3 linked regions of the Drosophila melanogaster genome follow. The protein of the gene in region 3 purifies or fractionates together with the protein of the main gene of each other region. This does not show direct contact. Each region holds a gene or a part of one and is shown on either strand. Other genes may lie near its edges.

Region 1 (5,410 bases), on a different chromosome or scaffold from region 3:
TTAATAGTTATATTGTTCTGTCAATTTATACACTTTGTGTCATAAACTTTTACCGAAACGTTGACAGGTCACAGGTTGTATCATCTGTGTGTTTTTTTTTTTAATATGTGATCAATGAGAACATTGATGACTAATGCTATACCGTGCACCTCTTATGTTCGCCAATGAAATTATCGTTTCCTGGAAACAATCAGACGTATTGTAGATATGAAAGGCGAATAAGTTAATGCTAAGCGTGTATAAATCCTTATCGATACGGTCCCCTCTATGAGACGATTTTCGTATTTCGAACCTTCCATCTAATCGGCCAGCTTATCAGATATGGCGCTTCTCACGTGGCTAGCAAATCAAATCGTAGGGCACTTCAATGAAGTCAACTGACTTTTGTCCAGCGATGATGACGACGTAAGACTTGCGGTGAAGCAAACTATGTCATTCATGGGAATCCGTATGTGAAATACGAATCGAATGACCGGCGATTGTAATTGAAACTTGTGAAAATGGTGTGATTAAAGGCCACCGTGCATTTAATCTGCAAATCGCCCTGAGGCAGAAGAGTATAAACAATTTGGCTTGAGTTGGTAGACTTGTCAAAACAGATTTAAATTTAAATATTTTCAATTATTTTATCTTTACCATAATTTTGATAAGTTATAAACTTAAGCCCAAAAGTAGGCAAATACATTTTAATATGTGAAAGTAAAGCTTTGTATGCAGGTAAGTCAGCCCATAAGTATGATTTAAAATCGAACTGTAATTCGATTTGTTGTTATAGCGTTATCAATTGGGTTTTTTGTATTTTATAGATAAATTCGGTGTCCAAATGATCAATTGGCTTAATGCGTTATCAGAGCACCAATGTGACTGGCTCAAGTTCAATATAGTCTTAACCGCTTTTCTTAACACAAAAAAGGTATGCAAAAAACTAGGATATATAAATATCATCAGTACGTATACTACCAATATAATATAATATCCGTGCAATCCTAACATTTAGCTCTAATAATAGAGTTATGAACCTAGATATCTATTATATTTCTGTTTGTACAAGACCTACCTGACCACTAAAGGGTTAAAAAACCAAGCGATATAAAAGGGCCGAATCGGAAACGGTTTTCATAGTTGCTTATAAACAACGACAGCATGAAGTATACCATTCTTATTTTGGCTTTGGGCCTGTTTTGCGTAAGTTTTGCAATGAAAAATACAAATTATTTGCGCAATGGTAGCAAATATTTAAATTCCAGGTAAATGCATTGGTGGCTCCTGTTCCCAGCGCCCTGGACTCTTCGTCAGAACTGGACGATGTGACCGATGGTAGCTTGGAGGTGGAGGACTTTGGCGTGCTGAGTACGACCTACAAATCCCTAAAGATCGCTCTGCGAAGCATCAAGGGACTCAATTGCATAATCAAGTGGGTGGCGGGCATCAAGGACAGTGCGACCCAATTTAACACGGACGTGGTCGTGTGCGGCGTCACCGCCAGCAAGGATGTGACCAAATTGATCAACGCCAACAATAAGATCCTCAGCACTTGCAACGACCTCATCAATCTGAGGTCCAACACTTGCCCCCAAACGGACGACGAGGAGACGAAGGTCTCTGGCAGCTGCTTTGTTAAGACTCTGCGCAAGGTGTGGTCCCTAAAGAAGCAAGTGGACAATGCCATCAAGCTGGCCAAGAAGATCCCGCAAACCGGTCCCAATGCCGTCGCCTGTGTCTCCGATGCCGTCAACACCCTGACCACCTACTACACCGCCTTTCCCCAGAACATCATCAGCTGCTCCAAGCTGACTTCTTAGGGGTTTAGTGCCCGCAATTGATTCGAGCATTCAATAAAAATCCGTGTTATCACAGTTTTTGCTAGTTATTTAATTTTGTTAGAGGAGAGAAAGCCTTTTTATTACTATTCGTAACTAAATTTTTATAACCGTTACTCGTAAAGTAAAAGGAAGCGTTTTCATATAGTCTTGATTAGGATCAATAGCCGAGTCGATCTGGTATATCGTATATATGATATTTTTTATATTTTTATTAGTCTTGCGAATTTCCATCGATTTGCAAAAAGTATTAAGTGGAATATAACAAGTTGCTCTATAACATACCTATATTTGTATATTTGTACAATTTATACAATTTTTAGTCAGAGTAAATTAATAGTAATTCAATTATAATACAAATTTATATTTTATTGAGTACAGAATAGTTAGATAATTGTTTAGTTACTGTTAACCAAATGTCTGCACCCCTAAACGAAAACCAGTGCGAGTGTACTTTCTATCACTATTGAATATTGATAAAAATGGAAGTGTGACAAAAACAATATCTCAACAGATATGATCACCTTAACCTAGGGCCATGAGACAGGTTTGAAGATAAAAGGCTCTCTCTTTGGTATAATTAGTTTTTTAATATACTCGATACTTCTTTTACTGTAATGCTCATGCTTATTTATAAATTAGATTTAAGCCACTTTAAATATTAAAAAGCTGTCACTCAGACGTTGACAACGTAGATAGGTGACTTTTCCAAGGGTTTTGTTTTGTTAAATAAAATACCCATTGATTTCTTTGAGCGATTATGCATCGAATGCATCGCGTCGATATATGGGAGTGCTTGCGGTGGGTGGTGTCGGACTTACCTGAGGAATCCCTGTCCAATCTGGACAATCTGGCTATATGACTATCTCGCTATCTTCCTTTGTGTGTCCACGCTGCATAGATAATGTCAAATTAGTTTCGGACTTTGTGTGGTGGTTTAATTAAAGCATACATATCGCCGGCACATTGGTTTTCCAAAGTGTATGTGCAAATCGAACCTCCGAATCGCCACTTAACTGATATGGCTCCGGCCAATCGTCTATATAAACAAACCCCACGGATCGGTCAGCAAACATTCGCCAGTGAAACCATCCACCAGTAACATGAAAGTACTCAACGTCTGCCTCTTGGTCGTGGCCTCTGCCAGCTTCCTTCTGGCCACAGCGAACGTAAGTCAGACAACCTTATGAAGAACTACTAGCAAATACAGTCAAGTGCCATCGTTATTAGAGTTTGAAAAAAATCCGAAAAGTGCAGCAAACAAAGATTTAATGAACAGAATCGTCGCTTAAAGCAAATATATTTTGTTCAATTTTTTTTCCGAAGTGCTTTTAAAACGTGTGCTACTTGAAGTCAAATATTTTGACAGTTATTCCAAAATCGAATCGTATTCCTAACTTGTTTTAGGCCAGTGCCGTAGGTGCTTTCGAGGACTTCGAGCCCTACACCGATGCCGAGCTTAAGGATCTCTACGCCGCCGAGTTGATGGCAATGGAGGATGAGTTCATGGGCGTCGAGCAGTTCGGCTTCATTGGATCGTGCCGCAAGATTCTGTGGGCCGGATACAAGGGCATCAACGGCACCAAGTGCATCGTCGAGGAGGTGGCCAATGTGCTGCTCACCTGCACCAACTACGTAGACGACCTGAGCACCTGCACCGGCGATATTCCCAAGGATATCCAGGCCATGCTGAACAATGTCAAGCAAATGATCATCACCAGCAACAAGATCATCAACATGAAGTCCGAGCTGTGCGCCTCCACCTCCAGGAGCGTCGTCTCCTCCACCAAGAGCTTCATGCGTTGCACCCTGAAGGCCTTCTACGCCACCATGTCCCTTGTCCGCCGCATGAACACATTGATCAAGCAGGGCGCAGCCCTGCCCTTCAACACCTCTTCCTGCTACGTCGATGCCACCAAGAAGGTGGTCGACGGCTGCAACGCCTTTGTGCCCAACATCAATACCTGCATAGCCAGCATGACATAAGTTGGTAATAAAACCATGAAATTATGAGCAAAGCAGATGCTTTCTTCCTGATTTGGGAGTTCGGGGTGTGACAACATATCTTATACACCTTTCTAGCCTGTATAGTGTCTCAGATCACGAGATACCGACGGACCGACAAACATGGCTTTTTTTTGCTGTTTCAAACTTTTAAACGAATGTGACACATACAGAGCTTTGGAAATCGATGTGCTCATTATTACTAACTGACTTATTTGACTTTAACCACCTTCAACCTTATGTTCTATACCCATAAAAAAGGATGTTATATGTTCAAAAATCTTAATTCTATTGCCAATAGACAGACTTCCTGGATATTCTGTACTCGATGATTCAAATGATGGGCGCCAGCGGTATCAATGGGTCTGGACTCCAACAAAAGCAACAAATAGAATATGAAGGGAGTAAACACGTTACTCGTAGAGTAAAAAGGTATACTAGATTCGTTGAAAATGTATTGGTCTCCGACCATGTCAAGTATACAATACGTCGATACGTTCCGACCAAAATTCCTTAGCCACACCGAGTTGGTTAGCGCGGTGGCTGGAAATTTTAGGTATAAAAATTGATTTACAAAATTAAGAAAAACTTACCACACCGCCAACGGCAAAGGAAAACATGGGGCCCACGATGCCACGCCCACTCTACCGCCCACAAGCCGCCTAAAACTGCCACGCCCACACTTTTGATCAATTTTTCTTATTTTATTTTCCAATTCCTATCGATATCCCAGAAAAATAATAAAATTTCGCGCTCGCATTCACACTAGCTGAGACACGGTTATATAATTATCGGGGAACTCGACTAAAGCATTCTCTCTTTTGTTTTAAATTATATATATGTATTTATTGTTTCATTCGTTCGCTTTTTCATTCATAGATGTGTTGTATGTATTCGTGTATTTATATTATTAAAAGTAATATTGTTTGAGCCGCGTATATAAAAACAAATAACAATAAAAAATGCTTAACCAATCAATTAAATTAATTCCAGTACTAAATAAATTCAAGCCAAGTCACAAAAAAAAATGTCAAAAAATAGAGAGTATAAGTGATTAAAATACAAAACCGAAATAGAACTTAAGCACAGCAGCTAAGATTAGATATATACGTTTGATTCGCCTTGAGATACTGTACTGCCCACTAGGAATAACAATATTCGTTTTGGCGAAAAAAAAAAAAAATATGGAGGTGCAAAAATGATTATGCATATAGTACAATGTAAGTAGCTAGACCTTAGGCTTAGGTTTTATGCTTTATATTTAGGGTTTTTCTCATTATAATTGCACATGCTTTAAGTTAATCCACAAAAAAAAAAAAAAAAAAAATACACCGCTTAGGAGTCGATTGAAAAATGGATTTAATTTTTTGGGTATGTGTACGTGGATGCAGATCAGATCAGGCTGAGACGGCTGTTGGTCTTGCGCAGCTGGGCGCGCCATGGGATGATGTTATCCTCCTCCTCCTCGGCGCGGCCCTGGCTGCCCTCCGATGGGTCGATGAGCTCCTGACCTCCAATGACGCCAGAATTAGCGTTACCAACGCCACTGCCAATGCCAACTCCGTGCTCCTGATCCTGATCAGCTC
Region 2 (3,896 bases), on a different chromosome or scaffold from region 3:
ATGAATTATTAAAACCCGTTTTTCTATCAAAATGTACCAAATTGTTTTTCTAATAATGCCTTTGTGTTTTACCATAAATATTATATTTAATTTGACAGTGGCTTTTATTTTCTTGAGTGTCATTCGGCGGGCGGGAAAGGAAAATTGTGTAAAAGGAATGCTTGGTGTGCTTGCATCTTATTACTATTGCCCACAGATACAAGAGAACACACAACTACAAACAAACAACTGGCAGAATAATAATATAGAGAGACGGCGGCTGCCAAGTTTATTGTGCAAATATAATTCAGTTTTCTTTTCTCTTTGGCCGATCTTTTTGTACCCCGTTCCCGTCTATGGCTATATTCCACCTCCTCGTCCTTTGCTTGCAAATTAGCTGTGTGCAACGTGATAATGCCATTTCTGTGCATTTTGCCAGCTTACAAAGTGCGCTGAAAGAACTTTATTGTCTGCAAAAGTGTAGATTATACAATCAGGCTAGTGCTAGAAACCGGCAAAGGAATAAGTTGTTAAGGCCTGCTGCATCGCATTGATAATCTTTATTTAGAAACATCCAGGAACAACGGTCGTGTACTATTGATATTCCCCCGTCCTTAAAAAAACTAGTAAAATAAATTGTTTCGCTTCAAATCATATTTATTTTTAGTAAAGCTTTGATAACCTTACGAAATAAAACAATTTTTGTCCGATTTTTCTATCTCATTTTTAAAAGAATTTTTGATTTCGAAGGACTTCATTTCCTCACTTGTGTTGATTTCGCTTAAATTGTCAGGAGGTGCTTCTTTTGCTTCCTGATTTTCATCATTGGAATCTACTGCAATTACTTTCAGTTTTTTGCTGTGCGTCATTGCGAATGGGGACCCCAAATTGACTTGCAAAATATGTAGACGAGGCTGTTTTGAAGGTGGCTCCGAAATATCTTCTTCAGCGGCATTTTCCTTATTGGTTACTTCTCCAGAGAAATGGGCTTCAGGGGAATTCTTTTCGGACTTCACCGACTGCTTTGTCAAAATCGTTGACATCATTGATGATTTCGTTGGCGAAATTGATAACTTTATCGGAGATTTCAATTGGGACTCTGTTGGTAATATAATGGGTTCAATTGGTGATTTCACTGCTGGCGTTTTCGGCTTCTTTATTAATGATTTTATTGGTGATTTTTTTGCTGGAACATTTTGCATCATCGAGAAAGTTTTTGGCGACTTGTTCGGCGATATTTGTCGCGTATTTTTTGGCGATATTTTCGGCGTGTCTGTGGGCGTCTTCGCAGGAGTTTTCTCCGTAGTCTTCTTTTTAGCTGGGGTCTTTGGCTTAGCAGAATTCCTACCATGATTTATACTTGGGGAAACACGCGCTGGTGTTTTCGGTATATTCCGGGCTTTAGTCCTTGGGAGTTTACCAGTTTTTGGAGAACTGGCATCACGAATACCCTTTCGTCCACGAATATCCTCGAATGTTTGTGGAACTCGATCCACCAATGACAATGACAATGCAGAATCCATCTGGAGAGATAAAAGCCTCTGCCGTTTGCGTGTCATATAAGTTGGCGTTGATGTGGCCCCCGGATGGTTAGTGATTGATAGAGACTCTTCGGGGATTTTGCGATCCGTTTCCTTATCGGCTGAATTGTTTGGTGGAGTTATATTCTTTTTGGAACTCATTTTTTAATTGTTTTAACTTATTTAGCTCAAAACGACCGTTTGCTTGTAATGTGCAAGGGACACTAAATTAAGAAACGAAATTCTGACAGTCACGTCAAATTATTCTGAATCAAAAAGCAAGGCTAAATTGATTGGGTTGTTAAATGTTCAAAGTAGAATAAAATTTTACTTTTATATTACAAGTATTAAAAAAGTGTATATGGTAGTTTTATTCTCGCAATTACAAATTTTATGTAATTTAAATCGAATTTTTCACATATTTATATGTGTATTTGAGTAGAAAATAATATTATCGGTTGTAATTCAGGGGCATATAATATTTAAAAGGTTTGCCAAAAATATTTCCGAATATCTCCAAAAAAAGAGATGCCCCGAAAAAAATTCATCACACAATACAAGAAACAACAGCAAACGGTATCAAATTTTTTGAAGACCGCAGTCTGGTAAAAAACGGAAGATATTAATTAAATTTAATGACTGTCTGGAGATGCGACGACGGCTACTGGCGGGCAAAAGAGCAAACAGTAACGAGAACCCATGGAAATAACCGCTGCAAAAACTTTGCCAGCTGTATTGCATTACGCCTTTAATTTCATTACACGTCCAGACGGAACGGGAAAACTCCCGCCCAAGTTCCGAGCTGGCCCATAAAGTCGAGGGAAACACTTGTAAAGTCTGCCGGGCGACCAGAAAGGGAGCCCTTTCCTATGGTCTCATATTGCATGGCGCCTCATCTCGACCAACACTGCAGCTCAGCAGGAGCCCGATGAAGATGATGTTGTGGGTGGAGTTATGGCGGGGATTTGGAAAACAGCGGGATCGAGAGCCTGCTGGCGGAATAGAGTTTATTATTTAATACTTTGAGCGCCATGCGTTGAAATTAGCAGCCATAAATCAATGAAACGACCCGCCCAAGTCCACAATTAGCCGAAAGTAGCAAGATGAACGCAGCTTGTTATATGAACTAGCTGTATTAGCTAATTAATATACAACATCCCACGTTGGTTGATATTGGGATTATATGTTTACTTATAAACGTTTCAAAAATATCCGTATTTTTAAATTAGGCAAGTTTATATTTCTTTTTAATAGGATCACTATTCTAGTTGGGAATAAATATTTGCTTTTTGTGGTTGGTAAGCATTTGATCTGATAGTCAGTACAGGGTCGCATTTTCGAAACATCAGTGTAAACAGCAGGAATATCTGTGCCACATACTAATCCATAGTTGACGATGCCCACCTGCTCATATCGATTAGGATCGCTTTAGAGGGGACAGGCCAGTGGGGAACCTTCGTCGCCTTTGCACGCATCCTTGCCAATCTCACCGCCGGCGCACATCAGACTGGGGTCGAGATAGAAGTTTTTGCCAAAGATTCCTTGAACTTGTCGCTCTGGCACCTAGATCTGTCCACCAGGGGCACATTTTCTTCTGAACATTGATGTTCTCGAAGTTCTTCTTACCCCAGCCACTGACAATGCAACGATTATAGATAAAGTTGCGATTCGGTGGCGGCAGGCAAATCAGGTTTATATGGTGGGTTAGGTCGAGCGATTTTTTGAGAAATAACAGGGCCACATTGTTGTGTCGCACAATCTTCCTGATGGAAACATCCTTATGTTTTTCTTGCTCTTTTTTCGTTATCGCATCCCATTCGCCAGCTGGTATTCGTTTAGTTTTTCAGTGACAGAAGTCGCTTATTGAAGACTAGTAGCATCCAGAAGGGCCGCCATCCATGGCACTTCCGCCTCTCCGTTCATCATAGATCTCTGCTCTAGACTGTTGAAGTGGCCACATTGAAGTGGACGCGGTAGATCGATGCTTGGAACTCGATTTATGATCTTAAAATGCGTTCGGTTCTTAATAATACCAGTTTACCTTTATGAATTATACATCTATTACCACTTTCGATTTGCGACAGCAGATTTTCGCAGGAGGATATTCCCAATAGGCCATGCTTAGATCTTGACATCTTGCAATCTTGTCTCTTGTTTTTTGTGCACTACTACAATAGTACAAGAGCATTTTGATTTCCGGCTTTAAGTACTGTGGAGAAAATATAATAATTACGTATGTCTTTGAATTAAGCTTTTATGAAAGATTTCAATTTTACATTTAGTGAAGCTTTCGGCGCAATTACCTAACTAATTTCTATGGCCTTTTCAGCGGCAATGAGTTAAGCAAACAAAATGGGAGCAACTTCTCCGGCACACATTCCGATGGAATAGACAAGA
Region 3 (5,968 bases):
ACCAAAAGTGGCCAGTGTGACTGTCAATAAATTACCCAGAAGCGCACCCATCGCAGATGGAGAAAGAGGTTGGAACCAAGTTGGTATTGGTACGGGAGAACGGCCAAGAACGGGAAGAGGCCGCAGTCAGAAGCCAGAAGAAGGCCAACGGGAGCCAACGGTATATTATGCAATCACAGCATGAATGAGACACTCTTGACCGAGTTTCCAAAGCCAGGCAATAACGGTACCAAGACACATGCGACAGCTGACAAGCGGGCCCCATCCACATCCCCATCCCCCAACCAAGCCAATCCACGCCAAGTTGCTGGGCCAAGCTCCCGGGAACGGGGCCCAAAGCGAAGAGCATGGCCAAGAAGCGACTAACGGGTTCTAGGCTGTGGGCCAAGCTACAAAAAAAGAAGGCGCTGCAAAGCTGAAGAGAAAAGGCTGCGAAAGGGGAAGAGCAGGAGTACGAGCCATACCGTAGATGGCCAACAAGAGCTCGAAATGCAGGGCACCCGCCAATTATGCAAACAATGCAGCTGGGAAATGCAGTAATAATAAAAAAGAAATAAAAAAGACCGAATACCCACGCGGCTTTCTTGTATACTTAACAAATATATGTAGGGTGGTTATTCTCTATAATGGGATGATATAATGTTTATATTTCCATGTTGATGAATATAATGAGATATTTGCTTTGTAAGCTTAAGGAAAAAAACAAATCATTTTCACATTTATTTGTAAACGATTACCAAATTAGTGACATACATTTATGAATACAATCTGAACTCGGTTTTGCCTTTATTAAAAAACAGTGATGCAGTTAGTAGGATAATATTGTTGGTTAGCTAAGCACGTGGGTGTATAAGTACTGTTTGTGGTGATCGTGTACACATCCTCCTGAATATTAGGTGGACATGATTTACTTCTGCAGATGGGTCTTCACCAGGGAAACAAGAGGGGCAGCTGTGGGCATCGCTGGGTGCTCACCGGCACTGCCGGCGATATCAATATGGGTGTACTTAATGGGCAGCATTGAATCCAACCCGTGTTTGTCCAGTCCAGAAGCCTTAATCATAAAGGCGGCGGGCACCTGGTGACCGCGAGGAGTCCTCACCGACGGGGCATTATTGGCCTGCACCAAATCCTCGCCAATCACCTTTCCAGCGTTAAAAGAGAAGTCACTGGGACGGAGAATGGACACTTCGAAGGGCTCTCCGAAGGCCTGTCCAGCAGCCTGCAGTCTTCTGGCGTGATCCTCCCGATGGGCCACGCTGTTATCGATGGCAATCGACTGACCCTCACCTGCCGAGATGAAGGCGTGACCAGTCAAGGTGGCAATGGTGAAAAGATGCGGATCCGGGAGATTCTGCTCCACGACCAACTCCTTCATGCGGCACAGGGCATCGGTCATGCACATGCGACCCTCGGCATCAGTATTTCCAATCCTCACATGAAGACCAGCTCGCGAGGTGATAACCTCATCGGCCACGTAGCACTCCTCGCCCACGGAATTGCGCACCATGCACAGGGCAGCCACAACATGGATATCATCCGGTTGCAGTTGACTGACCACCTGCATGAATCCAGCGACAGCAGCCGCTCCACACTTGTCGCGCGACATACCGGCCATCACACCACCGGCCTTGATGTCAGCACCACCGGTGTCATAGGTAACACCCTTGCCGACCAGCATCAGAGTTTTTCTCGCCGGCTTTGGAGGCTTGTACTCCAGGAAAATGATGCGACCACGATGACGCTCCACTGCATCAGCAGCCCGGTTTACGGCGGCAAACAGGGGATACTCCTTCTGCAACACCTGGGTGTCACTGATCACATTCACGTTGAGCTTGTCGAACAACGGCTTGATGTACTTCTCCACCTGGATGGGCGTCATGCGCTCCGGGTCCCCAACTCCGATGTCGCGGGCCACAAAGCGACCGGCCTCCAGAATGAGAGCTTCCTGGAAAATAGCTTCGGCCCTTGGATCATCGATCTGGACACTGAGCGTGGTCACACGGGGGTCCTTCAAAGTTCCTGCCTCGCGCAATTGAATGGGCTAAAAAACGTGTTTTAGCACATTGATTGAAATAAAAGTAAACATAATCCATATTACCACATAAAGCTGCTCCAGAGCTCCCAGAACGGTGCAGAGTTCGACCTCGGGGAAGCGCTTAACCTTGGGCACAAACAGCAACGGCGTGTGGAATCCAGCCTGGCAAAGAATACATATACATTTTCTTTCATAATTCACACAATATGTATAGAAAAAAAAAACCCACCTTGAGAACCTTCTCCATGGACCGCTTGGCCGCCTCCTGGTAGCTCCTCACATCGTCGTAGTCGGTGAGCTCGGAGACGGGGGCATAGACCACAGGTTGATCCACGTTGGGCACCTTAAAGCAGGATATGCTGCTGTCGAAGGACTTGTCGAATTTGCGGTGCTCCTCGAAGGTGGCCTTCAGTTCATTGGGAACCGCATTGCGATCGATGATGCACAGGCAGTCGTTGCCGGCCAGACTCATCAGCTTGTTCAGCCGGAGGGTGCATGGTAGAATTCTGGAGGGGCACACGTAGAGTAGAGTTAAAGTGCGCAACGGAATCGTTATTGGTATTCATTAAGAAACATTTCTGGGTGTCAACTAAATGTGCAATAGCGTTTAATTGAATTGAATTTTATCACGTCACATTTGCTTTATTAACTGATGCAGTCGTTCATATTGCATAACAGCCTGTTGCCTTTGTATTTCAATTTATTATTTCAAAAGAAAATGTCCCCACTGTATTAGGAGCAACCATGGCCATGTTTCAGTGTGTTCCCCTTTCGTTTACCCTCATTCCTGGCGCTGGGCTTATCTTAACTCGAAGTGCTATAAAGAATCGCGATAAGCTTTCGAAATGACCATAATCACAAACCGATTTCCAATTTAGAAACAAGTGTACCAAGTATTAGCACAAATGGTGTTAAAGTACTTATTTAGAATATTTGTAATCTTATTCAAGTGTTTCTACTAAATACCAATCCTTAGGTAACTGGGTCTATAATATTTTGGAGAATAATCCTATGTCGCTGACCATTTAATTGTGTTATCTTTTGAAGTGCCCCATATCAAACAATAAAAGTTGATCTATATATATCTGTTTCCAGAAGTAGCAAGAACTCGTTATCTAAGTAATAATGATAAAATTAAGTGACCTCCCCCCTTTAACTTTTATACAGTATTTCGCCAAACATTGTTTTTATTTTGGGAAAAGATAAAGTTTGGAATTTTCATGACATCTATTCCTTGCCGGCAACTAATTAAAACTGATAAACGCTGAGATATGCAGTACTAAAAACATTCTAATTTCGTTTTGGAATTATGGGAAAGGTAAATAAGATAGCAATTGATGGATGCTAAGCGACTAACCCTCACTGTAAAAGATGGCGAATCTTTGAGAGCTTTTCCAATCGGTCGCTAAGCGGTGGCTAGATAACTGATCCGCGCTAACTTAAAACACACCCTCTAATAACTGTTGGTAATAAATACTCACTTTTCGATACCCATGATGAGTACTTTTTCGCAGGCAGCTCACGCGACTTGGTTGATCGGCAAGTGGGGCGTCACTGAACCTCCCTGATGGGAACAAAGCGCTGCAGCTGGAAACTGGAAACTTGGGAGCGGGATCTGGAACGGAAAGCTGGCGATAAGGAGCGATTGTGATAGCTCTCCGCGACGATTTGCAATGTTCTGGCTGGGTGGCCAAGCTTTTTATACATTTTACTAGCGAGCCGGGCTTTAGGTTTTTTTTTTTTAATTGCTACTTGCGTTTTCGAATGAAAACAAATCGCACGAGCGATGAATAATCGCCAGTATGCTCGCTATGTACGTAATTCTAGAACTCGGATATAACTTGTAAACAATAAAGGCAAAGTCTACTCACGTCGCTCGGTCTTCGGAATTGTTATTGTGGGTTCCTCTTGCCAGTCACGTCCACGGTGGATGCAGTTTCTGGGCCAAAACTAACCAGTGGCAAAAAACAAAGGAATGGCAACCAGGTTTTTTTTTCACAGTAGACCAGCCGGCATGTGCGAAGCTTTCAAATGCCGGCCAAGTGACAGCTGTTTGTGGTTTGCCCGCGTTGCCAATTGTCATAAAGGATGTGGAAAGCTTTCGGTTCGAATTTTTGATACTCTTTGTATGGGACTACAAAGAAATAGAAGCTTATCGGTCGTTAGAGACCGGACATTATTACTTCTTAATTAGATATTTGTCGGGGTGTTATATTAAGGCCAAATAACACAGCAGTTTTAAATGTAAAAAATATTTATTCGCCATTAATAAAGCGTTGTATATCGTCAATAAGCTGCGGAAGTTTTTTGGCCTCCAGGACCAGGAGTTTCCTGTAGGGCGTCATCACGGCATCGCCTTCCAGCCAATCGCCAGACATGCCCGAATCGGTTTCAGAGGCCATGGAATACTCGAAGGAGAACTTAGCCCGATCCGAAAGCAACTCATCCTCAGCGTTGGTGTACACGTCCTCGCCCGGTTTGCCCTTCTTCGACTCTTTCCTGTAGAACTTAACCAGCAGCAGCAGAGTGCCAAAGTCGTATTTCATTTTCTTGGCCTTGGCGGCTTCGATTTCTTGCTGCAAACTCTGCAGCAGTGGCACGGAGATCTGGGCAGGGATATTGATAAAGCGCTCGTTGATCAAGAATCCCACATGGCGCTGCTCGCTGTCTAGAATCTCCTTCAACTGCTGCTGAACCTCCGGAGAAGCGTGCGTCTTGGCGCGATCCAGTATGTAGGTCCTTAACTGGGCGATGCTGGGCTGATCCTTTTTGGCGGTCAGGTTCAGCACAGAGGTGATTCCAAAGATGGTGCCATCCTCGACCATGTTGTCGTCCTCCGTTTCGCTTTCGGTGCCCTCGTCGTCGCACTGGCAGATCACACTGCCTATAAAATTTTGGGCTGGAAACAAAAAAAGTTGTGCTGATAGATAGATCAAGATAGTACCTTGGAGTGCTCACCTATGATCAAATCCGCCATTTGGTTGCAGTTGATGTGGGCACGAAGGAATAGTCGCTGCAGGAGTTGAGAGATTCCCTGGGCATCGGGATCTACTGGAGCTCGTCCCTCAAAGTCGATTTGCACCTCCTAGCCGGATATTAATTTTGAAACACATTTGCTTTTCATATTTTGGAGGCACTTAGATTACCTCGTTTCCCTTATAGGCATCTGGATGCGGTTCGTCGTCGTCATCATCCTCGCTGGAACTGGAGACATCCTCGTTGGGGTCCACCTCCATGGTACTCAATTTCTTTTGCTTATTAGCTGACATTTTTAAGATTTAGTTAACGAATTTGGTTTTGTTTCGCTTCCACTAAATTGCCGCCCGAACAGCTGTTTATCGTCCACACGTGTTGCATTGAGTTGCCAACTATTACGGAGCGTGCTGTTAAGTGGGCAGAGTTCTGTAAATGCACCGGAGTTAACAGGCTGTTAAGAAATAAAATTTACTGGAAATTAAATAGTAGACCCGACATTACATTTGACCATAAGTATTAACAAAATTCACAAGTTTCAGAAAATATTATTTGTGGTTTACTGTCAAAATTATTATTATTTAAGTCCTCATTGACTTTGAGCAATATAATATATGTATGAATCATTAATTTAAAATACAAAGGCCTTATAGAAGAAGCACAACAAAACAAGGGTCAAAATCACGCCTGAATCTCCTTATTTTTGTTTTGAGCGTGGTCCCCGGTGGACTCAATTTGAGGTAGACCTTCGTTTTTCGATTTTAGGCGCTCCTCATACTGCTCCTGGGTTAAAAGACTCGCCTTGATTGCATCGCAGTTTTCGATTTTGGGCAGAAGAATGGCGAAGTAGCCGGCTCCCTCGGGGAGTTGCTCCAGAAGCTTTGGCTCCTCCACAATGGCGGTGTTCACCTCTACCAGCTTGCCCCGAATGCAGCTGGGCACCTTGTAAGTCCCTCC

What was found.
Region 1: the proteins of Dip-B (region 3) and CG5445 purify together in Drosophila melanogaster (affinity purification with mass spectrometry, with the first as the bait; one large-scale study listed by BioGRID). This does not show direct contact.
Region 2: the proteins of Dip-B (region 3) and CG18518 purify together in Drosophila melanogaster (affinity purification with mass spectrometry, with the first as the bait; one large-scale study listed by BioGRID). This does not show direct contact.

What each region holds. Positions count from the first base shown.
Region 1 is NC_004354.4:17,280,207-17,285,616, reverse strand, and holds the start of CG5445 (uncharacterized protein), read right to left. Parts: upstream 3,122-5,410; 5' UTR 2,990-3,121; coding exon of another isoform or gene 2,924-2,989; 5' UTR 2,773-2,923; intron 2,714-2,772; 5' UTR 2,642-2,713; intron 1,856-2,641; exon of another isoform or gene 1,803-1,855; coding exon of another isoform or gene 1,248-1,802; intron 1,186-1,247; coding exon of another isoform or gene 1,144-1,185; exon of another isoform or gene 1,117-1,143; intron 1-1,116. Other genes in the region: CG8661 (uncharacterized protein), read left to right, coding at 1,144-1,185, 1,248-1,802; CG8664 (uncharacterized protein), read left to right, coding at 2,924-2,989, 3,228-3,806; f (forked), read right to left, coding at 5,217-5,410.
Region 2 is NT_033779.5:15,833,948-15,837,843, forward strand, and holds CG18518 (uncharacterized protein), read right to left. Parts: upstream 1,712-3,896; 5' UTR 1,662-1,711; coding exon 663-1,661; 3' UTR 622-662; downstream 1-621.
Region 3 is NT_033777.3:13,780,393-13,786,360, reverse strand, and holds Dip-B (dipeptidase B), read right to left. Parts: upstream 4,074-5,968; 5' UTR 3,910-4,073; intron 3,722-3,909; exon of another isoform or gene 3,667-3,721; 5' UTR 3,534-3,666; coding exon 3,520-3,533; intron 2,545-3,519; coding exon 2,268-2,544; intron 2,201-2,267; coding exon 2,102-2,200; intron 2,045-2,101; coding exon 908-2,044; 3' UTR 685-907; downstream 1-684. Other genes in the region: CG9286 (uncharacterized protein), read right to left, coding at 4,294-4,937, 4,997-5,123, 5,185-5,307; CG9288 (uncharacterized protein), read right to left, coding at 5,693-5,968.